Drosophila melanogaster: one gene and its partner. The protein of the gene in region 2 interacts with the protein of the main gene of each other region in a pairwise test. Each region holds a gene or a part of one and is shown on either strand. Other genes may lie near its edges.

Evidence for each region. Proteins that work in one complex are often made in the same cells at the same time.
Region 1: the proteins of Lfg (region 2) and Atf6 interact in a two-hybrid assay, tested with the Drosophila melanogaster proteins (one large-scale study listed by BioGRID).

The regions. Positions count from the first base shown.
Region 1 is NT_033778.4:5,142,650-5,146,405, reverse strand, and holds the start of Atf6 (Atf6), read right to left. Parts: upstream 1,674-3,756; 5' UTR 1,576-1,673; coding exon 1,548-1,575; intron 1-1,547.
Region 2 is NT_033778.4:12,875,168-12,878,923, forward strand, and holds the start of Lfg (lifeguard), read right to left. Parts: upstream 1,800-3,756; 5' UTR 1,624-1,799; coding exon 1,605-1,623; exon of another isoform or gene 1,123-1,604; coding exon of another isoform or gene 1,095-1,122; exon of another isoform or gene 1,041-1,094; coding exon 934-1,040; exon of another isoform or gene 915-933; intron 858-914; exon of another isoform or gene 777-857; coding exon 675-776; exon of another isoform or gene 613-674; coding exon 106-612; 3' UTR 1-105. Other genes in the region: Nmda1 (N-methyl-D-aspartate receptor-associated protein), read right to left, coding at 2,488-2,847, 2,906-3,154, 3,218-3,543.

The DNA.
Region 1 (3,756 bases), 7.7 Mb from region 2:
TTATGTAATTGTAGTAAAATTACTGTAGACTTGAAAAAGCTAACTATAGTTAGCCGACGCGCCCAAATGGGCTGAATTAATAGAAAAGAAGGACACAAAGGGGCTCCAAGATTTCCCCGTATGCCTTGATAAATAAATTAATTTTAAAAAAAAAATCCTGGATAGGAGACTCACCTTCTCGAAGCATGCGTATGCGTGCACCATTTTTGGCTTATAAATTCGCGAAGTAAATTGTCACTATCCAACAAGGTGATAATTTACAAGCAAATTATAGCTCCAATATGGAGGTACAGCTATCAAATCTGGGGCTTGGCCTGCGACAGCCAAATCCGTCGTATTCAGGCTCCCCAAAGCAGAATCGCCAGGATGATTACCGGCTGCGATTGGTTCGTAAGGAACACAACAACAAAGAGCTCAAACTAGCCACTGTCTTCGAGACAATAAACATGCACTCTAGCCGGTACCACGACACGTTAGAGCGGTATAGAAATATCCTAGCCAAGGCACTAAACAAAGGTCGCCCACCCAGAAGGCTCCACAGGTCACCCTTGACGAGAGCCAGGAGATGATGATCTCATAATTGTTATGTAGTTAAATGTTACTTATATCATTTTTATTTAATTGTTATTTATATCATTGTTATTGTAATTAGCTAACTTTGTCAGGAAAAAATTAAATGAAAAAATTTAAAATATCAAACCATTGTAAACTTACAAGACTAAAAAAATATGAAATACTTTCAAAACTCCTGCGGCGACGTTGTATTATTATAATTGTTTATTATACATACGTCGACAAAATTTATCGCAAAGGCTGTTGGTGAAACGAAACAGGCAATAAAAATACTTATAAAATATAAAATAATTCATTAATAAATTAAAAAGGATGACTAAAAGTGTTGTTCGAAAAAAATCCTATTTAATTTAATAACTTAATTGCAGTGAATAATTAAAACTGTCGAATGGGCCGCTCTATTGTCTGAAAAACAGCTTAAACAGCTGTTAACTGTTTACTAAACATTCCGATAGCAAAAATTTGAGAATACAAGAGTAACTTACGCAGGAATCGAAAAAAATTACACTGTTGCAAGATACATATGGTATTATCAACTTATCAAAGAAAGGGACAAAGTTTTTGTAAGGTTGTCCTGTTTAAACTGCACGAAATAAGCTATCACTTTACGTATGGCAATGCGTCAGCAAATTATAAGATTTATTGATAGACAGTAATGATAAGGACGCGAATTTTTAATTATTAAGAAATCTTTTAATTTTATATATTGTTGTTTATTATTCAAATATCGTATGTCGTACTTCCCTTTTATGTTTTTCTCTTAACCTTTGTTCAATCGATTTCTTTTAATACATACATTAATATACATTTTATTTTTTATTCCATTTCGCTGATTCTAAAGCAGAAAAAATTAGGGTGCCAGCCACTCATTTCACATTTTACACATATTCATACATATGATGAATTTGATAATAGATATTAGGGCAAGACTTTTTCAACTTGCTTTGCTTGTCACTGACGAGAAGGAAACTTACTGTATAAATTATATTCATTGATGTCCATAGCTAATCGGCCATAGAATTCGAATTGAATATGTTTACTGAACCAGAATTGATTACCACAGCAAACGTCAGCAAATACACGACGTTTTGGCACATTAAAATATTAATTATCAATATATACTATAATAGTAATTTCACATTTTAGGCTTATATAGTAAGTGTACTTTTCACATCCGTCGGAGCGGTTGAGACTTCCTAAGAAATATCGATATAAAAAAGTAGTTTCAAAACTATCACAAAAAACTATTAATCACCATCTACTGAGGACGGATTTTACCTTCTTAGCTTTATATCCACTAGTTGTAGAGTACAATGCACTATGGGTAAAAAGCCGGGAATTTTGGTATTAATTACAATTATAAAGATAGCGACTTGATTTTTTTTATGTTTATAATTAAGATTTAAATAGAATTTCGGATTTTGTTTATTTTTTGATCTGACCACGCCTTCATCTCCGCCCACCAAAAAAATCCTTGAATATAAAGTGAAAAATGTATTTATATACATATGAAAGCGGGTTTCAAGGGAGATGGATGGTGGGCGAAGGATTGGCGTGGGAGCGAAGTGAAGACACAAGATACAAAAACCAATTTTATGAAATAAAAGTCAAAATTTTTTTATATTTGTTATCCATCCTTGCTTCTGCTACTTTTGAATAAGGATGGAAAATATCGCATCCTTTATGCTTATTGAGCGGTTTTATATTATTATATTGCTACTTTGTAAATCCATGTTCAATTGGGAAAGCTAAAGCGTTTTCAGCACTTATTTTAATAGAATGATTTGTCTCAATTTTCTTTTTTATATTATGTATGTTTTCAATTCCCTTTTTTTCAATATAAAGGCCGTTTCTGCCTGCTTCGTTGTTTTCCGGAAAATGAAGCAGCATGTACGAGAAGTGGAGTTGAATGCCCTTATTCTGCAGCCTGCTTATTTGGTAATCTTTTGCTCTTTAGTCTCAAAGTTCTCTTGTATATTTTCCACAATATAACTGTTAATAGCGTCTGCATCGCGTTTGTTGTTGCTCCATTTTTCCATTATTAAAAATAAACTCCAAATTTGCTATGAAGACAATGTTTACGCTGCACATTTGTTCAACTTTTTCCGACCATTTTCGCAATTCAAAGCACCTCTGAATCAGCTGACTTTGAAAGTGCGCCAAAAATAAACGATAACTCGTAAAAAGGTTTAAAACATTTTTTTTATGCTATCTTGTTACTTAGAAATCAAAAAATGAAAGGAGCATTAAAATATCAATCACAAAAATATTACATTAATACAAAAATTTCCGGTTTTTTACCCATAGTGCAATGGTATACTAGATTCATAGGCATGTATGTACTATAAGAGGTAGAAAGCAAAGACACTAGAATAACAAGATGCGTAACGGCCATACATTGGTTTGGCACTATGCAGCCACTTTTTTGGTGACGGCCAAAATTACTCTCTTTCCGCTCACTCCCGCTTAGAGCGTAAGAAATCTAAAAATATAATTTGCTTGCTTGTGTGAGTAAAAACAAGAGACGAGAACGCGTATAAGTGTGCGTGTTGTGCTAGAAGACGATTTTCGGGCCGAAATCAATTCTGATCGAAGAAACGAATTTACATGGTACATATTAGGGTAGTTTTTGCCAATTTCCTAGCAATATGATAAAATAAAAAAATTTTTAAAAATTCGCGCCCTGACTATTATAATTTTAAAGCTTTTTAAATTTGTTTGTTAAAATCGCCGCTCGAATTAGCTACCGTTTACACATTTATATTTATGTTTAATTCTAATTTGTCTCTCATCTGACAATTTTTTAAAAGCGAAATATTTTTTTTGAAACACTTTTAATGTTAATGTTACATCATATTAAGTCAAATGATTTAATAAATATACTAAATAATTAAATATGATAACTGTTTATTGCAAAAGTAATATCAAAGAAACTAGAATTATTCTAGTGTCTTTGCTTTGTTCATATCTTGAGGCACGAAGTGCGGACACAAGCACTCAACAATCATTGCCTTATTAATTTTTCACACGCCGCAAGATGAATACTCTAAAAATAAAAATAAAAATTTATTTTTGTGATAATATGTACATAGATTTGGCTATTTCTAATCTATTTTGAAATAATAATAACGTTAAGGCAATGCAAAACAAGAATTTTTCGCATGGTGCCAATTGATCAAAAAT
Region 2 (3,756 bases):
TAGTTAGTCGTCTTGTATTTCTTTCCGGCTAAGGTGGCACTGGGCACATAAAATTAAGTTACATTTCTAAAACTGGAATAGAAGCTATGGATCATAATGACCAGTCTAATTGCGAGACAATCCGATAATGGTCAGTATGTACATGAAGATGTTAATAATGTCCAGGTAGAGGTTTAGAGCGGCGAAGATGTATTCCTCAGGACTGATGGAGTACTTATGATTACCACCCAGCATCAACTGGGTATCGTACACCAAGTAAACGGAGAAGAGCAATGCTCCCAAGGAGGCATAGACCAGTCCGATCACCTTGCCCGGTATGAAGATAGCGATTATACCAAAAATGATGAAGACCACCAGACAGGCCACCAACACTCCTCCGCACATCGTAAAATCGTATTTGGTCTGCAGGGCAAACAGGGTGAGTCCCAGGGCCACCGCGGCCGTAATTCCCACTGCCATCAGGACCTCATCAGCCTCAAACTGTCCGGCGACCATACCCAGAAGGAACGACTCCGCCACGGTGAACAGGAAAAGAAAGATGAAGTTAAGAGGCGTCTTACGGCGTACACTTTCGCAGCAGGCCATACAGATCATGGTCACGATAAGAACGGCCTGAGTTTAAAAATTGGATATATTTGTATTCAATATTTAGCATAAAAGTCGTAAAAACTTACCAAGGCTATCCAAAACAGTGCCGGATTTTTTTGCACCCATTCCTGCGAAGCTTTCGAGAACGTAAATACGCTAACAAAACCGAAAGTGATCAGCAATTGGCACTAGAAATAGAGCGCGATATCAAAATTAGATTGCAGGAAGTCAATAAATCTTGAAGTTTTAAAGTGACCCAAAGCAGACAAGTAGTGAAGCAAATACCTTTATTTTTGGACAATTTAAATTGATATTTTCTTTTTCAGTTCAAATATCAGCACTTACCATCAATATCAAGTAGACCTTTCGAATAAATCCCTTCCGGATGCTCTGGTCATCGAAGGCGAAGCTCTTGTCCGCTTCCGCATCTGTGTATGCGCCAGTTTCATCGCCTGTGTGGTTGGAAGACAATTCAAGGAAGCAGGAAAGTTAATGCAATGACTAACCGTACTGAAAATGATTGTCGCTGCTCATGGCTAAATTGCTATGACTAAACTTTAGTCACTTAAGTTACGGTGCTCTCTTTGCCCGACTGCCGGCAGCGTGCTAGTGTTTCAGCTTAATGGAACCGAATCGCCCTTTCTAGGTGTTCCCATATGGACGTATGAGTTGAGATTAGCCGGTTACCGGCTCTTATCACAGCCCCACACTTCTACTCTAGATAAGATTTGTGTATTGATGTCGGTGAGTAACTGATATTGCCACCATACAATTTCAAAATGGTTGTTCACTCTCCCTTCGATTGGGTGAATCACTGTTTTTGGGCTCATAACGAAACCTTTTCAGCTGTCTTATCAGATGAAAATGCGCCGAGAGAGATATATTTTGTTGGCTCTTACTGAGAGAAAACGATGCAGTCAATAAGCTTTATACAATAGCCAAATCGATTATCTAATCTAAAGCACCTTTCCGTAGCCAATTTGGTTTGGTTTCAGCCCAATCCGGGCGGTACTTACCTTGCTGGTAGTGATACATTTTATAGCTACGCCCTGCTGGAATTCACACGAACTACTGAACAGGTGGCCGGGTCAAACGCATGATATGGGGCCAACCCGAAATTAAAACACCCGGACTTCTTTCTGTGGTGGTGCAGATAACAAAGTTAACTTAAGCAATGATAAAGCAAAAATGCAGACGATAATGGTCTGGAGTGTAGAAGTAATCCAACCAACGGCGTCGCTCTGAAGTCGCAGACTAAAGTTGCATCTGGTGGTGGCTGGCTGGTTGAACTGGATGAACCACTGACGGAAGCCCTACAATGCAGGGGTCTGTGGCTTTAATAAATAGATGCGCTTTATTGTTGACTTTAAACTCAGTGTCGCTGCAGGGATTACAATGTTCGGTACTTGATTCATAGTTGAAAATCGGGATTCCTTGGTTATTACACACGGTTAAGTTTTATGTGTTAACAACTGCAAGCCAACTTGCTTATATGTATATTTTTACATAAATATGTTTATACGTGACTATTTATTGTTGTTTCGTTTATCTGAATGGCATATCATTTGGTATACATACATATATATAATTTTTTTATTTTTAAATTTGGAAATATCCACTTGGTTTGCGCCTCAACTTAAGCAACAATAAAACATACATAACAAAAAGTAAGTAGTTCATATAGCCTTAGTTGACATTTAGAACTAGAAGGAAACGGGGAAAATGGGCAAACACAACACGAAGTAGATAGATTTGTAAGTATTTGAGTAATTCGTTAGTTGAAGATTACCTCCACTGGGGGAGCACACCGATGAGATTACGCGACAACAATATTCGTGTATTCCAGGTTACTGAATAACCCGATTAAGCTGCAAACAATATTTGGAAATAGAGCGGAACTTAGTCGCGCGATGCGCCGATTATAGTCAGAATGTACATGAAGATATTGATGATGTCCAGGTAGAGGTTTAGTGCCGCAAAGATGTACTCCTCGGGACTGATAGAGTATTTGTGCTCGCCGCCCATCATTAACTGTGTGTCGTAGATGAGATAAACGGAGAAGAGCAGCGCTCCAATCGAGGCGTACACCAGTGTTATGATCTTTCCCTTTACAAAGATGGCCACGATGCCGAAGATCAGGAACACCACCATGCAGGCGATCAAAATACCGCCCATCATAGTAAAGTCGTACTTTGTCTGCAAGGCGAAGATCGTTAGGGCCAAGCAAACCGCTGCTGTTATGCCCACCGCCATGAGAACCTGGAAAACAGATATCGTATCACTTTACTACATATCGTAATTAAATCGAAGTACTCACCTCTTTCGGAGCATATTTGGTTGCGGAAACTCCCATTAAGAACGACTGAGCTGCTGTAAACAGACCCAAGAATATGAAGTTCGTCGGTGTTTGGCGGCGCACACTTTCGCAGCAAGCCATAGACAGCATGGTTACTAACATTACGCCGAGGGCAACCCAAAAGAGCCACATGTTATTCCTGGCAAAGGTTTTAGTGCCCTCGTGGTATACAAACAGGGCAACAGCTCCAAAAGTGACGATTAGTTGTCCCTAATGACACAGAAATGATAACTTATTGTACATGCCTTCTATGCAGAATTATCTAAAGCTCACCATTAGAATCAGGTACACCTTACGTATGAATCCGCGACGGATGCTTTGGTCGTCAAACGAGAAGTTCTTGGGCTGGCTCTCCGGATCATCGTAGGCTCCGTAGCCGCCAGCAGATGGTGGTGGTTGGATAAATCCCGGCTGGGGAGCATAACCTCCCGGTGGAGGCCCCTGTCCGTAGGGCTGTGGATAGGGTTGAGCACCTCCTTGTGCATAGGGTGGGTAGCCTTGCGGCGGTCCTTGAGGTGGATAGCCGCCCTGAGGTGGATATCCACCATATCCTCCCTGCGGGGGATTACCGCCGCCATAGTTGTACTGCTGGTTGGGATCTGCGAAATAAGACATCTCGTTTTAGTTTGTCATCTAAAACGGTGCTACCAACGCGTTCGCTACAGCAATCTGTCTACCAAGAACTGTAAAATCTAAATGAAACGCTTCGCCGTGACGAAGAGATGCGGTAAACCAAGAAACAATCTCGAGCAAATATGTACATACAACCATGATAAGAAGGGACAAGTACGATGTGTAAAGAGAGAGAGGTA